Drosophila melanogaster: one gene and its partner. The gene in region 1 interacts genetically with each later gene. Each region holds a gene or a part of one and is shown on either strand. Other genes may lie near its edges.

What was found. A genetic interaction does not mean that the proteins touch.
Region 2: of stwl (region 1) and brwl, changing one suppresses a phenotype caused by changing the other (phenotypic suppression), as found in Drosophila melanogaster (one study listed by BioGRID).

The regions. Positions count from the first base shown.
Region 1 is NT_037436.4:14,402,973-14,413,020, reverse strand, and holds the start of stwl (stonewall), read left to right. Parts: upstream 1-3,081; 5' UTR 3,082-3,258; coding exon 3,259-3,406; intron 3,407-4,174; exon of another isoform or gene 4,175-4,241; coding exon of another isoform or gene 4,242-4,275; intron 4,276-6,183; coding exon 6,184-9,149; 3' UTR 9,150-10,048. Other genes in the region: CG3919 (uncharacterized protein), read right to left, coding at 448-765, 837-986, 1,211-1,521, 1,749-1,926.
Region 2 is NT_033779.5:9,566,057-9,575,127, forward strand, and holds brwl (brickwall), read left to right. Parts: upstream 1-2,833; 5' UTR 2,834-3,142; intron 3,143-4,214; exon of another isoform or gene 4,215-5,358; intron 5,359-5,420; 5' UTR 5,421-5,452; coding exon 5,453-5,697; intron 5,698-5,785; coding exon 5,786-5,838; intron 5,839-5,899; coding exon 5,900-6,909; 3' UTR 6,910-7,516; downstream 7,517-9,071. Other genes in the region: Mtpalpha (mitochondrial trifunctional protein alpha subunit), read right to left, coding at 7,714-8,350, 8,413-9,071.

The DNA.
Region 1 (10,048 bases):
CCCTATTTCCTTATACACAACTTATTATTCAAAAAAACATAACGAAAAAAAAAACAATTATATTTTATGCCATAAATTATACGGGAACGTTATACATGTATATTATTTTAATAATTATTATTTTATTTAAAGAACAACAAAAACAATGTTTACGTATACAAAAGTATTTGCTAAAAATAAACATACAACATATATGAAATTAACCTGAATGTAATTTTTTTAAATTGTCTGGATTGTTTTAATTTCCTTCACAAAAAAATTTTAGTTTTCACAAAAAAGTCTAGTTTTAAATTTAGAAAAATTTATTTATTTAGTTTCAACTTCACATTTTTCTGTTTATACATTATGGGAACATTTCTAAAAACAACTTAAAATGTTATTTGTCCTATGTACTGTACATAAATTTGATATCAGTGTATTAAAGCTGTTCAATGAGCAGTTCGCAAGCTACAAATCTTTGGATGCCTTGGACACCAGCTTTGGCAGCTGCAGCATAAGTCCCATGTGCTGTAGTGGATTCGCCGAGGAGAGACTCGAGGTAGTGGATAGCGTTCCATTGACATTCTCCCTGGGATGCGGCTGCGCTGGGTGGGTTGATGAGGCTGACTGCTCGGAATGGAATATCTCGCCAAGCAGGTCGTACACACGTCGCTTGAAGTACAGCTTCTGGTGGAAGTTCATGTGCTTGATTTCGGGACGCAGTCCCTGCAGGAATGCGTCATCGAAATCCATGATTGGCAATGCTTCAATACAGCGGGTTGATGTCTGAAATAAGAAAATAACAAATCATAAATAAACGCTGTACAAATTAAATTTTGCACTTAATAGATTGTTACTTTGGGGAATTCAAGCAATGGCACTCTATATAAAGTAATTTCTCCCACCTTGGCCTCCTTCTCACTGCTGTCGCTCTCTGTGCGCATTTCTGCCGGGACCGTGTCCTCGAAATCCATGATTGATGATGGTTCATTATTAAATTGTGTTGCCTGAAGAATTAAAGGAAACTGCATCATTAAAATTATAAATGCAAATTTCAGCTTTGAAATAAAAACGGGCACACAGTATAAAACTAAGCTAATTTGCACAGCTTTAACTTTTGACCAAAAATATAGCATACATCATTTTTTTACTTTAAAGTATAGTTCATAACGCTAAACAAGGTTGTAATAATTTAAGGCCTCAGCAAAATGCATCTGAGTATTGCTCCCACCTCAACGTCCGTCGCCGATGCAGGGTCGGTGCTGTGACGGCTCTGCGCATGCTCCGAATTCAGAAAGCTCGGGGAGTGCACCATCTCGAGGATTGCCTCTACGGGAGTTTCGGGATCCCCTTCGTCGTGCTCCTCCTGTCCCTTGGGTCTTGACCTACGACCTCTGAGCGGAACGGGCACTCCGGGAGTGATGTGCTTTTGCAGGAACTTCAGCTCGCTGTTAAGATAGTACGTATTCGCACCGTGATGCAACTTTATTGAGCGGGCATAGCTGGAGCGAATGTTGCGCCAACGTTCCTTGCAGCTTTTAACTGAAATGATCAATAGCAGTCAATAAGATTGTAAGATAATATTATATAATATTTATATAATATAAATTGTAAGATTTTATAAGAGATTATATTTTATTTTATATTATGTATCGACATAGTAAAATCGTGCTTATAAAAATATAAACATCTCCTAATGAAATGTAAATTTAATAATTAAAGTAAATTTAGTTAATATGCAATATGTCGAAATATAGATAAAAACCCACCCGAATTTCGCATCTCATTGGATATTTCCTTCCACGCATTTTTCACAGTCGATTTCCGCAAGTAGTTGTCATCGTGACGATCGTAAAGACAAGGATGTAGTTTCACCAAATGACATATTTTGGCATTGATGGCGTAAACGTTCGGTGGTGGAGCTATGGACCGACGGCGTGTATTCATTTCATATATAAAAACTAAATATGCAAATTTAATTAATTAATATAATTAATAGAGTTAAAGTAGAAGACCCGAAATCGAATCTGAAACATGTGTCGCCTGACCGTGCAACAGCTGTTTGCCGCTACTTTGCTTCTCTGCTCCGCTTTCAACAACAGTTATTTTCTCTGAAACCAGATCTTTCGTTTAAACTTACGTGAATTAGGTTTAAAAATGCTCCAATTAATCGATGTCAGTGCTTTTATCACGAGTTTTGGCTTATTAAGTTCGGGCTCAAGCCGCTCGTTGCTTCCGTGCACGCGGCAGTTGTTGGCGTGGACGCCGGAGTTGCTGCTATTACAAGTGTTTAGCAACTTTGAACACTGCGATTTCGTGCTGCTGCCAACAAGTGATGCAGTTGTAAATGAATGTTGCAATTTCAAATAGCAATTGTTCTTGATTTTAAAGCACATGAGCACTAGACTGATTCGAATTGGACATTTGAATCTTTAACGGGCGGAGAATATAAAACACCGGCAAAATAAATAAAGAAAGGAGCCACAACAAACGGAAAGCCAGAGGCGTAGTCATTCTCTTCGCAAATCAGCGGGGGTTACCATTCGAGCAGCATACAACCCTCTCTGAGAGAGAATTGACATGCCACTGGATCTCACACATACAATGAAAGGCACACTCACTCAAAGTAGACAGCACTGCCAGACTTAATGCAATAGTATAGCAGTTGGTGTTGGCAGTGCCATTTGATCGCTGGAGGTGCTGCCAACGCATTTACCAATTAATTAATGACCACCCCTAAATGTTGTAAATTATAAAAATTATTCAAGAATATTACGATTTTGGTTAAATTAATGTACAAAATAAAATATTTCATATTTGTATTGGCTGTCAAATGAAGTTATTTTATTTTAAGATAAATGCTAACAAATCTTAGAGAAACTGGAAAACAAGGTTGAGCGGTTTTGAGAATTATGAACAACGCGTAAAAAACATTATTTATAAACGTAAAAAAATATTATAGTCTAGCCCGACAGGTAAAAAATAAATTTATCCGGGGCCACCTTGGTCAACCCTCGTCAACGACCGTTCGGCCTGCCAACTCGCTTTTCCCTGCAACGCAAGGCGCCGCTCTCTGCTCACACTCTCACTTGGCTGTGTGTGTGTGCTCAATACTCGCTTTTAGTTTTCGCTGCAGTCGGTCGCCGTTTTTAGTCTCAGCTGCTGCGCGCGTGTGTTGTGATTGTGTGAATTGCGTTTGCGTTTGTAGCATAACACAAAACCGATAAATTCCTGGCGAAGCGAGCTCTCTCGATTGGATTCTTGCAAAGTGAACTAGCGATGAGCGCCGCCTCTGAGGTGAACCTGATGTTGCTGCGGTCAGTGGAGAAGCAGACTGCGCTTTATGATCGTACCGACGAAAACTATAGGAAGCGCCTGCCGAGTGAGAACGCCTGGGACATGGTTGCCTCCGAAGTTGGAGAGTCGGGTGAGTCGTGAGTGCGAGCGGGATAGCAATCGACGTTGCGTAGTTTTCTGCCAGTGCTGCACAGCGTCAACGCGCGCACAACAGTCAGTCGTCCCCGAATTATCGGCCGTCGATAGTTGTGTGCGAGTTGGCAGCGCCATGTATGCCATCACAAAGCAGCTGGCATCGATTAATTCGAATATAACGAGTCTCCTGTTGAATGCGTAGTCGTTTGGGATGAAATTGCTTCTTGCTGTGACATAATTTTTGTAAATAGCTGGAAAGTAATTTATATTAGTTATTTGGCAACTGCAATAATTGCATGGTAAAAACTAAACAAAGTTATTTCGTTTGTTGTTATTATTATTTTTTTAATTTAACATTTTATAATTTATAATTCTCCAACAAGCTTGTTATTTCATATTAAAAAAATGTCTTATTTGAATATTACATTATTTTAGAAGGATTTAAAAATAAATAAATTAAATACAGAAAAACCAAAATATGACAAATAATAATATCTAGTCTATTCAGTAGCCAAATCCATTTCATTTAATTCTTATTAGCTTTATAAATTTTTTTTAAATGATTTGAATCCTTCTGCACGTTTTGGTAACACTGGTAACACTAATCGCCCATTAGCTGAGTAAAATTTAACCTTAGAAAATTGGTATATTGTATTATATTGGTATATTATGAGTGGGTAGTTCCATTTATCCATGCATCTCTGATTTTGTTGTCGGTGTATATCGATTGACCCATATATATTTCCCTGGAAAGATCTTTTGGCCAAACTTTTCGAGCAGTACAATATAAGTTGGCTCTTTTTCATTTGAGAACTGAAAAAATATTGCCAATGATGGGGGACTTCTTATTCGAGAATTCTTGCTGTAAGTTTTATTTATATATCGCAAAAGAAAGAAAAATCCTTTTTAGTGTACATATGTACATACACACGTGCATGTACATATTTAAGTATGATTCTCAATTTGATTGCGATTATTTCCACGTGGTTTCTGACACCTTTTACTAAACTTTACACGATTCCTTAACACAACTATTTTTTAAGTAATGTGTTTGGATATCAGATAAAGGGTGTTTCAGCAATGTCTACAGGTTTTGTTAACTAACAAATTAAAACGTATCTTAGAAGTTTGGGCGTCGGAAACCTGCACGCCTTATAAATATGTATGATATGTACATCCATGTACGTTCCCATGTATGTATGTCGGAAATCTGCATATATATATATTTATATAAATATATATGGTCATGTATGGTCATGCAGATAAATGGACGCTTCTAATTTGTATACCCCTTACTCGTAGATTTAAAGGGTATACGTTGGAAGGGATTCGTTGCAAAGTATGTATGCAACTGGTATGAAGGTCGATCTCAGGAACTATAGAAACAAAAAGGTTCAAATTAAACATATAGATTAAAGGGACTTAGACGCAGCGAAAGTTTGTTTTTTCATAATTTTTAATTAGTTTTGTAAATTTATATTGACTTTTTGAACAGTTTTTTTAAAATTTTCTCATTTGACTCCCCAATATCTATCTATATGCCATATCTATATGCATTATAAAGCTTCCCACTTCCATTATTCATTCTCTTATTATTTGTTTTTGTGGTGATTTATTGCACTGTAAATTAATTTTTTGCAAAAATGCTTTGTCTTAAAAATATAAAGTAATTTCCTACAATTTTTCTTGTATATGTTATAGCTGATATTATTTTATCACTTTAAAAAATTGTTATGTTTGGCTAGAAAAAAGCTTATTTTTTATGACCCGATTTTTATTTGAACTATCCTTATGCAAGGACAAGAATTGAAATGGCACCGAACACAAAATTTCATGTGTCAGTTTTGTCAGATTTTGGCCGCGGTAATTGAAAATAACCTTCCGCAGCGTAGTTAGTTACATACTGTTACAAACCATATTAATCGGCGAGTATAAAGGCAGATAACTAAGAAGCAGTTTTGGCACGTAGAAGCTAAGAATTTCTTGTCTATTACTCCAAATCAATTTTGCCACTTCCTCCAATGGAAAGAGCCATACGAATTTGATCAATTAAAAAATAATATGGAAATATCTAATACCGAAGACCATATTTAGACCATTAAGACCATTAATTAGCTAATCATTTTCCGACTGTTGGTATTGAAAATATAGTTTTTCGATTTTAATAAATGTAATCCAAAATTTATATATATTTCCAAGATCTAGTGTATTCTTATTAAAAACAAGTAATGTGCCATCCGGGTTGTAGGACCCGTGATTCAGGGTTCGCGGTGCGTACTGGATGCCCCGATTTTGTGACTAGCAGTTACACACTGCAGTGCTTTTATTTTTATTTTTAAAAATTTACATACATGTATAGCTTAATTATTAAATACTGCTACCTTCAGGCAGCTAAAAAATTATATATAAACTGCAGTGCATGTACTCGCCACCGAATACTCATTTATACTCATTTAGATATTCATACATAGCATACTTTCAAGCGAAACTTGCATTTACGGAACCATGTACAATGTTGGTTTTTTGAAATTAAAAATAATTTAACTAGTGTCTCTTCCCATTATTAATAAGCATTCCTGAGCTCTTATTACCTGTTCATGTAAAATGCACACAAAGTTTTATGAGCTAAGATTAAAGTGGAATTTTCCGGGCAATCAGGGGGTGTTATGCTATTGAGAAGTAAAGGTTGGGCCGCTACCTGTTGCCTGATATATATTACGTATCATATCTTCTTACCTAGCCTTATCATTTCCCTCTTGTTCCCTCTTGCAGTGGAAAAATGCAAGCGACGCTGGCGTCAGCTGCGAAATGACTATACCCGCTGGTGCAACGCCGACGCCAACCGGCGACGAAATGGCCAGCGTCGTTTGGCTTATCCGCTGGCCGATGAGCTGCGCTTTTTGGACCGCCATCTAAACATAGCTGACGACATGGCTGCCGACGATGACCGCAGCGTATCATCGGACAAGGACAGGGATAACAATAGAGACAGCGAGGGCGTGGATCATCATGCTCAGGCGTCATTAAAAGAACGCGCATCATCGACAAGCAAGTTAGTTAAGGAGGTCAAGCTGGCAAGTCAAGTTCGTAAGGAAAAATCGTCCCAAGACAAGAGAGAAAATTGGGAAAATCCTGGAGATAAACAGCGATCTAGGAAGAAAAGTGCTGAAGAGAAGCTGAATGATTTGGAGGAATCGGACGAACCAGAGAAGGTTCCTGAACTCGATAGTTTTCTGCAGTCTGATAATGAAGACGACGAGTGCATGGACGAGGAGCACCTAGAAGATCTGGAAGGTTTCGATTTTGACTTGGAACAATCGAATCAGGAAAAGGAGTTAACGCCGGAGAAGTCTCTAGAGAAGAATAACACCGACTCAACTGTTAGCCAGCCGGAGTTCTTTGTCAAGCAAACCAGAGATCCTCGTTTGCTAATTATTGGCAGAAAGAATTCGACGTCTTCGTTTGCTGAATCCAAGGCTTCAAAATCTATTTCCGGGGATCCTCTGGAAACGGCTATGGAAGATAGTGGCGATGAATATGGTAGGGATGGTGAAAAACGCGTCACAGGCAGCGACACTACTTCTCCAACCCGACGTCCACGTCGCGCAGCCCGTGCATCAATAAGTTTCGCTGGCATAAGGGATTTACCGATCCAGAAACCAGGCCAAGCACAACGAATGACGCGATTGCAGCGCAGGAAATCTATGAGTTTAGCGGCTGTACACAGTGTAAGGAGCTCCACATCGCCTGTGAAAATGACTCCAGTCCCCAGGTCTCAGCCGATCAACAAGCCGCCATCCGGGCCAGTCCAGATCACGAAAATCAGTCATCGGGATGACATCTTCCCGAGACCTGCGGTGCCATCTGGAGTTGTGAATATAAATCAAAACCAACTCAAGACTCAACAACAGCAGAAGACGCTGATCTTTCCGACGACCGATGAAGCGATCGCTAACCCGCAGGGATCTGGTCCACCACAAAGGAGGTCCGTGGGTAGGCCGCCCAAGAAGCTACCTATGGTGCAGCGAATAGTTGCGCCGGAAACGCAGACCAAGCCACAGTCGCCCATAAACACCAAAGTCCTGACCATTGGCAAGCCCACCAGCTCCGTCGCGAGTGGTAACATAAATAATATTGCTATCAAAAGCAACGTCGTTACTAGCATAAGCAGCAGCACCGCTACTACTAATACCATTACCAAAGGTACCAGTAACAACAGCATCAAAACTACTGAAAACGTTAATGTAATAAGCTACAGTCCGAATTCATCTAGCACCAGCAGCAGCAGCAAGGCCACCACTGGTGCCTCTGGTGCGGTGATAACTAATATACCCACAACCACCACAGCTGGAACATCCGTTCCGGTCGGAAAGAGTATAACCCAATTGAAAATGACTGAGCGAGGCACTCAAACCGGAGTCCAGAATCCTTTCTCCGATAATTACTTTCTCGAAATGATCAAGCCCCAGATGCAGGAAATGAACCCCCGTCAGAAGATGCACTTTAAGAAGAAAGTATTCCAAGCGCTGATGGAAACCTTTGATGATGCTACCGATTTCCCAACGTCTAAAGAACTGCAGCATTTTAATATAAACACTCCTTCAGGATTTGAGCACATTACAGATCCGGAACTTCGATTGGTCAGGGAGCTAGTCAGCATGGTGAGCGCGGCTAAGGTTACCCTAATTAGACCGCCAGGAGAAGCTACAGCTATAGCTACAGCTTCCCGCAGTGGAATTGCTCCTGAGGTACAGCGAGGACCCCGAACAAATATGACACGCCAAGTCATTCAGAGGGTATACAAGCCAGGCACTGGACAAGAGATCGCCCCCACCAGCCCGGCGGGTGGACTAGATAAGAGGTTGTTCAGGTTAGCGGCTATGGGTGGTAAACCGAATGGCAACTTGAGTGCCACTCAGGAAATTTTGCGCAAGGATAGTGTTGACAGTAACCATAGTGTGGTCAAGGTGGCCAACCACGCCCCAACAGGCAGTCCCAAAGGAGCTGCTGTAGTGGCTGCTATAAGGCCGCAGGGTTCATTGATCAACAGTTTCTTTGGACAAGGCAATGGACCGACGACGGCCAAGGGAGCTGCCTCCGAGAATATCCGCGCCATGTCCAGGAGGTATTCCGTGTGCGGTAGCAGCAATCCACCCAATGCCCAAAACGCTAGCCAAGGTTCCGCCAATGGCAGCACCATAAACTCCAATGCTAGCGCTATGGAAGCGTCTATGCTTAAGCGGCGATTGATAGCAGCTGGGCATGGAATGGTGCCACCTACCCAACGCCCTCGGTATTCTGCCGTAGGTGCTAGTCAAATGACCACTGCATCGCAAGGCAGCAGTTTACTAGTGAGGAAGTCTGTGGGCTGCGTTCCTGCTTACCAAAAGCAAATCTCACCCACTGGCGGTGCCTCCCTGCTTCAGAAAACTCCGCAGATTGCCAGTGTGCAAGGATCTGCCTTCAATGACTTTGCCCAGCCCAAGCCCGCTGCAACGGCCTCTGTAAACGGCGAAGAAAGTTCGCCTACCTCGGCGCTGAAGCGCAGCTTGGTGGTGGCTAATACCAAAACCTCCTTTCAGGACCTTCTTCAGCAGGCCAGTCAGACGGTGCAGAGAAATAAAATTGAATCCTCGGAGACAGCAGCCACTATTGCTGCGGATGATTTTTCGCTGGACAACCTTAAGCGAGAGCCAGTGGATCCCGCGGAGGATCACAATGACATACTCGGTGTTTAAGACCAGGCCAAAGAAATTTCCGAGTATTGATTAAAGAGTAAAGAATTAAGACAGATTCATTAAATCGTAAATAACACGTTGAAAAATTGTTAAGCTATCTAATGCACTTATAATGTTGCGTTAAACATTTTTTATAGTTCCCTATAATTTTAAGAATTTCGAATTTTTTTTTTTTGGAAAAAGTTTTTAACTTTTTCTATTTTGTTCATAATTTTTTAGACGATAGAAAACCGACAGTTTTGTTCAAAATTTGCACAAGAAAAATGATTAATGAGAAATCGAATCTTAACTTTATTTCACATTTTCTAGTTATATATATCGAATAAAAATTGCCCTTATAAGTTAAACAAAAAGGACAACTGAAAAAATATTTAAATATGTTTTTATGGAAATATATTTCTATACATAGTTAGGTCAAAGTCACTAGAATATTATTCTAATGTCTTTGGTTAGGTAGTGAAATATATTGCAGTACATTTATGCGAAACAACCATCACGAAAATTTGAAAATTAGTTTGGTTGGTGAACCAAACTGGAGGGTGGGTGCTCCAGACGTTGTTCTAGCAGAGACATAAGTAAAATTATGAAAATTAATTAATTCTAATAATTATGACAATATCTTTGGTTCGGGTACCGATTCTGGAGTATTTCCAAAGCTTCAGAGTATTTAGATACTGATCAATAATATTAAATTGTTTTTATCAATACATCAGTGAGTCGGTGGAATTAACAGTTCCAAAGCACACAAACTGATGCAATTACCACTATCAGGATATATACGTGGACCTAACTACGAAGTAACACATCATCGATAACAGAAGATTAGATATGAAAACGCTGACGCAGCTAAGAAAAGCCTAAACATAACAATTCAGTAATAACATAAAACCTTCTTGTAT
Region 2 (9,071 bases), on another chromosome or scaffold:
CTTCAGTGGCAGCGTATTGGACCTTGAATCATAAGTTAATTAGAGTCGGAAGCGGGCAGTGAAAGGCAGCCATGGACATGGATACGGATACGGATGTGGCATGTGGGTGGGCAACCGAAAGCCTCGTTCAAGGACTCGCACACACTCGCATCCTTGCGCTCGTATCTGTGTGTGTTTATGTGGCATCTACAGGTAGCCGCAGCAACGACTCCCACAATTCCTCGAGAGCCTGGTTCGCTTTTGTTTCGATTTTCTAACGAAATCGAAACTCTACACTCTGAGAAAAACAATAGGAAGCGAGCGGGAGAGAGAGAGAGAGCGACAGAGCGCGAAAATGGAGGGGGGTTTTTCACTGAAAAGAGAAAGAGTCACATACTGCGCTTCGGAAAATGCATTCTTCATCCCAGTGCAAAGGAGACTGCATCCTTGATGCCGCTGCAAATTGTCAGACAAAGTGTTCTTCGAGTCAAAACTTTCCGCTTACTCAACTCCGCACTCGTTCTCCGCACTTTTCAAAACTTTCCAGCACTCGTTTTGCGTAAATAATTCATGTCGAATATATTTTTAAGCGCACACAGATGGTCACCAACACTAGCGGGGCAGTCGCGTAACCAAAACAATGACACTCGACAGCCGATGGACCGCTTTTCCGGGAGCCCGTTGCGACCAAGGACGAGCACTCGCCTCGACTGTCCTATGGCAACTGAGCTCCGCTGCACTTGGAAGCTCTCTCCTTGCTCCTTGCTTCGCCACCCGCCCCCATTTTCGGCCCTTTTCCATTTCCCATTACCCACCCGGTGACCAAGTTTTCCTCGGGCCGCGTTCGGCTCGGTAACCGATTGCTCGTCCTTGCTGTGGCATGTAGGCCACAACAGAAACGAGCCTCCTTTTTATTGAATTTTTGAGCACACGCAGGACAAGACATCCTGCCCGCCGAGAAAAGCTTTTCCAAGCGGTCGGAAAGGGGTGAAAAGCTGGGCTGGCTGGCAGGTCCGTATGCTAGCGGTAAATTGCAGGGCAACAAAGTTGTAAACAAATCGTTAAAGTGCTGGAAATAACTGGGTTGGTGGTCTGCTGTCAGGCGGAATACATAAACCCTGACAGTTTTGGCCTAAGGAGTGAGTCCTTTTGAGCTTTGTCGAGCTTTTCGCGTGTGAATAACAATATGAGTGTTTGGATAATGACATATCAAATGACCGTTGGAGGGAAACGTAAGAGCTTAAGTAATCATTTCTTATTTTTTATTAACAATATTGTTTAAATATTTTGTTTGCTCGGAAGTCATTTAGTCAAGAGTAAATTGTGCATTCTAACGAAACTGAAACAGGTATATTTATCTATTTATATTTAAATATGCATAAATGCTTATTTTATTTCTGAAGTAAATTAAAAAAAATAGCTGTTCAAATCTATACCGGAAGTAGCATGCGCCACCTAGCGAGTAGCCCACGAAGCTTGTTCAAATGTCCGAAAAGCTCGCCTAATAAATTTGAAATGTAAACAAATGTTGTTGGAAAGCTTGTTGGCAACTCGGGCGGCAGCAACAACTACACAAAAGCAGCGATGTTAGCGGCAGAGAAATTGCAAAGCTTTGTGAGCAACAACAACATGATTTTTGTTTGCTCGCTTTGTTGTTGGTTCTGAGAGCGACAGCTGTTGTAGTGTCCGTGAGAGCGCAGTTTATGTTTGTGTGCGGTGCTGAGTAAGCAACTGTTGTTGTTTCAATGTTCCCTGAGAGTTAGAGCAAAGAAGAAGAAGAAGCGCACAATGGAATTATGATCACTGGAAATTCGCAGGTAAGTTTTCAGGTAAACTATTTGGGTTCCTGTGTTTTATTTTTTTTGTCAGAGTTACAGCGTAAAAAATGTGTATTTTCTATTTGCGACTGTCACCTGTTCACTAACATATTTTGGGGAAAACCAATTATACATGTTAATGGACGTGGAAATAAATAGAAACATTACCATTAGACAGTAATAATAAGCCTGAAGTTATATTCAACATAACAATCAACATACATATGTAAAAATTGTATTGCCCAACAAAAAGATCTTGAACATGATATATCTTTTGAAAATCCATTTGAATCAATCGATTTCGATCAGGATTACCTAGTAGTCCGCTGATCCTTTGAGAGATCCTTTCGGGGTGGGTGACTAGCCTCTAACGACAGGCAACACTCTTGATGCAGTGCAACTATTTTTGTTGGCCTGTGTCCCTTTCCTACCCTCCACAACCGACAACCAACTCATTGTATCTGTATCTTTGCATTTCGTACCGCGCAGTTGCCGTTTCTCCGACTCGAAAACACTCGTCATTCGTGTGCGTGTGCATTGTTTGTCTTATTTGTTGTTCGTTGCCAGCAACAACAATAAAAAGTTCCCTGCTGTTGAGCAGCCAGCTGTGTGTGTTTGTATTGGCGCATTGGTGTGTGTCCGTGTTAGTATCTGTGTGTGTGCGGCGGAGAGTGTGCGTTGTTCTCTGTTTGCTCGCCGTCCACTCGTGTCATGTTGTTGCTGTTGCTTCAGTGTTCTACGTAGCCGATAGATACTGGTTGATACACTGAGGGAATACGTGTTTAATTGGTACTTGTTTGAACCTCATAACTATTAAATTAATACCGCTTACATGGATCATTAATAAAGTCTGCAAATAATTTTATATTTTTCCCTTTAATTAAGTTTGGGGCTAATAATACATTACCAATTTAAAACATCTTTATATTACATTTCACAATTGCCAAGTGACAACTCTATTTCTCTCAGTGCACCGCTCGCTCTCGCAGGGCAGCAGTCGCATTTGTGGCTGTGTCTGTGTGTTTTTCTCTGTGTGCTTAGTCGCCTTGGTCGCTTGGTACGCGAAACATACGACATTGCCAACAATCCAACAGTCCGCCGCCGATTCCCGAGCGCCGTGCACCGTCGACTCGACCGCGAGTTTTCGAATTCAACATTTTTGAACGTTACGTCAGTCGTCGGTCGCTGCAGCAGCAGCAGCAACAAAAATATTTTTGGCGCCGTTTTATTTGTGTGCCGTGCATCGTGTCGTTTTGAAATCGCTGCGAGCAAGGAGTTGTTGCGTTTTGAAATCGCCTCTGCAACAGGAGTTTTTCTGTAATCCAACGACGAATACCAACCAAAAGGTAATGAATTCTTTGCTTGGAACAACATCACAAGTTAGGAACAACAGCAACAATAACAGCCTGATAAGCAGCAGAAAGAAAAATTCTATATGCCATATTGTTTCCTTGTGTGCGATTGCCTGTGAATGTGTGTGTGTATTGTGTGTATTGTTGTTGTTGTTGTTGTCTATCTAACAAAGTTATTGCGATTGTTGTTGTTGCTGTCATTGGGCCACGGAATATACAATATACTGTATGTATTTTTGTTGGTGGAGGGAAACAAAGAGCGGGCCGGGTATTTCTGCAAGTTTTCTGTGTTTTGTTAGCTTTAGAAATAAATTCTTTTTTTTTGTTGTTGTTTTTGTTTTCCGTTGGGTTTTGTGTTTGGCTGTTGCTGATTCTGTGTTTTTCGATTTGTACGTTGCTGTACTTTTTGCTGAGCCCCGTTGTTAATAGATAAACATGAACATTTCTCAAGGAATTAGTACGCGCTCATGCTGATATGTTTATGTTAAATAGACGTAATACAATAAATATTGCCATATAGCCCAGGTTAGTTGTTTTTCTGCCCCTTCCAGTCGCCATTCCCATTCCATTCCATTTTCCCCCCGCCCACACCGCACACAGCAATCCAACAATAACATTAACAAAAACAACAACGGGCAGAGCCAAAACACGCGAGCAACGTTCGCCTTGATAATGATGTTCGCTGATAATAATGATGACTGGCCAAAGAACACAACAATGCTGCCAGCGCACAGTGGGACCAAAGTGTTACGAAAATGGAAAGCAATATTAATTTTTTGTTTGGTTCAGCTTAGAGTGCTAGAGTTTTCTCTTGCTACTTTTTTATGTCCGAAAAAATAGAAAACTTATTGGACTCTGAACCTGATATTAAGATTAATAGTTGAAGGGAATTATTACCTACGATTTTCCAGAGATTTACTTACAGATGTCCAAAAAATATATATATACATATAAAATACCATCTAATAGGTTTCCAAGCAATGTGGAAATTGTTATTATATTTTTCCTTGATATACTTTTGGTAATGCCCTTTTTCGATTACTTCCATCCCACTGTGCGCACGTTTTTCGCTTTGCAAAACTGGTGGGCCCAAAAGGTGCTGAAAGTGGCGGGAAAACTGTCGGAGATTTAAGAGCGGCCCAAGTGTCGCCGCGATAGAAAGGGGCTGACGGCAAAAGGGTAGGCAGTCGAGTGAATGGACAGGTGGAGTGGGCTGATTAGAATCGAAACAGGTAGTCGCAGGTGCGAGAGCGAATCGTTTGCAAGTAGTGAGCAGTGAGTGCGGTGGGTACTCGCACACATATTCGTGACTATTCAGCGGATTTGGTTTTGGCCAACATGTTTTCGGATATTGCAACACAACATTGCTTGCTGCACTGAATTGCTGCTGCTGCAGCAGAGTGTTGCTGTTGTTGCTGAAGCATTCTGTTGTTGTTGTTACTGTTGTTTTGTTGCTGCTGCTTTAGTTGTGCTGTTGTTGCTGTTATCAGTGAAGCAGACAAAAGCTTTCAGCTTTCGACGCCAGCAGCAACAGCAACAGAAACAAACGGCAACAAAAACACAAACAAGCAGCACAAACAGCCAGATTGCCTGTTATTTTTATGGCCGCTGCCATTGTCGCTGCTGTGGCTATAATAATATGAAAAGTAAACAAAGTTGCTGGCTGTCGTCGTTTCGCCGCCGAGTTGTCAACATCAACGCAACGCAATGCTTTCCTATCCTATCCAGCTAGCCAAACTGTACTGAATATAATGGCAACTACAGCTACAACTACAACTACAACGACAACAACGGCCACGGCTACAACAATGTTTTATTAAGTTTCACGAAATATATATGAGCGAAAAGCTCTATGCCTCGTTTGCTGAGACAGCAGCAACAGACAGCGGAACAGAACTGAACAGAACACAACTGAACCGAACTGAACAGAAACCAACACACAAACAAATAACACGACAAAACGAAAAGAAACCGAACACAAAACCCCAGCAGAAAAGGCAAAAAAGCTGAAAAAGAGTCGTTGAGAATTCTGTTTGTTTGCCAGCTCAAAAATAAATAGGATTGTATATAAATACATATGTATGTATGGTACATACATACATCGATAGGAAAGTCTAAAAATCAAATATTGGAGTGGCTAACTTAACTTGAAGTTGCCATTTCTTGAGATCATAACGTGCAACATGACAGCAAACCCGTTCAAACCCCTGGTAATCGCTGTTTATTTTAACATTTCTCTAAATAGACTTCAAATTTAAAACGTATCTTTTAGTGGCTCTGTGAGGGACGATACCGCCAACGAATATGACCACCTCAACCCGCAGCAGCAGCAACAACCACAGCAGCGAGCACGAGGAGCGAACCTCCAACGGCACCACCGCCTACAACCACCACAGTCCAACGGGTTCGGGATCCGGAACAGCAGGCGCCTCTATTGGATCCACCAACCGAGTGATGCAGGCGGACGAGGACTTCAACATCCGCTTCGTCAACCTGGTGCGCACCCACAAGTGTCTCTACGACAAGAAGGTGCCCGAGTACCGCAACAGGTGAGTGGCGAGTCCATCGGCTGCCAGAAGATACGATCCAGATCGTTCCGTACGTTCAGTCTTAACTAATTTAAATAACTTTTTACAGGGATAATCAGGAAAAGGCTTGGGTGCTTATTTCAAAGGAGACAAGAGAAAGCGGTAAGCAATAATAGGAAAAACATTAATCCCTTAAATTAATCAGAACTTTCATAATCTTTAGTGATCCATTGCAAGGAGCGATGGCGAAACCTTCGGGCCTGCCTATCCCGCTACATAAAGCAGCAATCCGGATCGGAGCCGCAGCACAAGCCATACTACCTGACCGAGCACATGGCGTTCCTGCTGCCCTTCCTGAAGTCCAGCCGTAACTCTTTGGAGGGGAACAACAGTCTGGCCACTCTGTACCAGATGTCCCAGCAGCATTTGCAGCATCAACCATTTCTCCTGCATCCAGCACTCCATGCGACCGAGGAGCACAAGTACTGCGCCAACACTAGCATCAATAATAATAATAATAACAACGACGTCCATAATGGTGAGAGTATGGAGGTCTTGGAGATGAAGTACTCGATATCGGAGAAGGACGATGAGGAGACCATCGACGCCTTTGATCCCGCGGTTACCAACACCCTGGGTATGAATCGTACTTCGTCCACGCCCACTCGCAGTTCTGCCCTTCAAGGAGGCGGAGGCAATTCACCGGCCAGAAGCGATACCGCTAGTGCGGATAGCATGAAAAACTTCATTCCAGATGTGCAGCTGGCCGAGACGGGCTCGCAACTCATCTACAGCGATGGTGGACATGGCACACCACCGCCTCTGCACTACCATCCGCACTCGCATCCACATCCTTTGACATTGTCCATGGATCATCACCCAGCATCCTACGAACCGGGGAGCACGAAAAGAATCAAGACGGAATGCGAGGCCACCAGCACGATGACGAATGCAGGAAGTATTTACGGCGGACTGAGTTCGTCGGAAGTGGCGGACATGGAGTTCTTCCGCAGCATTCTCCCAGATCTGGCGACTCTCACTCCACAGCAACGTCGCAAGTTCAAGATTGGCATTCTGGAGCTAATTGACGACGTTGTAACCCGATATCCCGCCCAGGATCACAGCAACGGAGGAGGCGTATCTGGCGTAGTCAACGGAAGTGGCGGTAGCAGCAATGGGGGATCTGTTAAGCATCAAAGGCGCAGCTCTGGACGCGATTGGAGGAAACAATAAAGGAATAGAAAGTGTATCGGAAAGTCACTAATCCTTAACTAGGGATAGGATAAGTTTAGTTAGAAGCTTAAGGGGGATCTGAAGCTGGAATGGGTACTAATTCGAATCTGAGCTACTTCAGTCCGCTCACTGTTAATGTGTTGTGTCTACTCAATAAGATGGGTATGTTTTCAAAGGCCTTCAATTCTTTCAAGTCCGCGAATTGTTTCGATTTTGACCAACCATTATGAATGGTCCATTTACAAAGAGCTGCAAGAACTTGCATGACCAAATATATACATATATATATGAACAACTAATATATACATTTAAAGCTATTCCGAAATCGAACACATTCAACGAACAAGAAGTAATGAGGTCTCCTTATAAGCCATTTAGTTCTGACGTAGCAGTTAAGGAATTGTGAAAATAGATTTCAAGATTTTAGAAAATGGCTGCTTCGAAAATATGTTAGTTTAAGGACACTGTATATACGCTGCTATTGAAACCTAAACTATAGAATCTGTGTACAAATGAATTTCCGTTTGAGTAAACAAAGAGGGATAAAGAGATAGATCGATATCAAACTGCTGTGTGTAATAATAAACAAATGAAAGTATGGAAAATTACACGGTAAACTTTAATTTAATTGTCGACAACTTCAACAGAGGGCTTTTTATTGGGCCTTGCCCCATTTTTTAGGCAGCGATGGACCACAATAGGTTTCCTTTCTGAGAGAAATGCACAAGGACACGACTTATCTTCGCACTAAAAGCTAAATTTCGTTAGCGGCTCTACGGAGGCTGGGATCGGATTGGATCGGATCTACAACTTCGAGGAGCCAGTCTTGGGGTAGAACTTCTTCGACGGGTCCTTAGCCATGTCGAGCAGGGTCTGAGCGGGCTTGAAGGGAGCTCCGTACAGCTCAGCATAGGATTGCATCTTGCTGACCAGTTTGCCGGCTCCATACTGATCGACCCAGCGGAAGGGACCACCGGAGAATGGCGGGAAGCCCAGGCCGAACACGGCTCCGACATCGCCCTCCAGCGGACTGTCCAGAATCTTCTCCTCCAGACAGAGCACGGCTTCGTTGATGAAGCGGGATACCATACGCAGCGTCAGATCCTCGGGGGCATTGGCTCCCTTTGAGACTAAAGCGTACTTTTGTTTCACGATTTCGAGAGCATCGTTGTTCACTGGACGAGTGCCCCTCTTCTGGCCATCGTACAGGAAGATACCCTTGCCGGACTTGCGTCCGAGGAAACCAGCCAGGACCAGATCATTCATTACTTCCAAGTTTCCACCGCTGAAACGTTCGCCGAATGCCTTTGCCAAGTCGACGGCAATGTGGGAACCCACGTCAATGCCAACCTCATCCGCAAGGGTCGCAGCACCCACGGGGAAGCCAAACTTCTTCGTGTATTGGTCCAGATCCTTGGGGTCCACGCCTTCCTGCAGCAGTCTGACATAAAATATGGGAGTATAATAAACAATTTCACTAGTCATCTTAAAATGCAAACCTACCTGATGGCTTCCGACAGCATGGTGGAGAGGATGCGGGTGGTATAGAAGCCAGGTCCGTCACCAACAGTGATAACGACCTTGCCTTGCTTGAGACCGACGGCCACGGCCTGTGCGATGGTGTCCTTGGAGGTTCCTGGGTGAGTGATGATTTCCAGCAGCTGCATCTTGTCCACGGGCGAGAAGTAGTGCATGCCAACAACCTTCTCGGGACGCGAGCTTCCAGCAGCAATCTTGGTGATGGGAATGGCGCTGGTGTTGGTGGCAATGACGCAGTGCTCTGGAACCACTGCTTCCAGCTCCTTGATCACTCGATGCTTAACCTTGATGTCCTCGAAAACAGCTTCGATGATGATGTCTGCGTTCTTGAAGTCGCTGTAATCAAGAGTGGGCCGCAGACTGGCAAGAGTCTGATCGCGCTCCAGTGCAGAGATTCGCTTGCGCTTCACAGCCGTCTCCAAACCCTTCTGCACTTGTCCAATACCACGAGCCAGGCCGGCTTCGGTGGCATCCTTCATCACCACCTGATATCCCTTATCGACGGAGACCTGTACAATACCGGCGCCCATCAGACCAGCTCCCAGCACACCCACAGTCTTAACCGGACGCTCTGGCTTGCCAAATCGGTTCTTCTTGCACTCCGTTTGTCCACGGAACAGGGC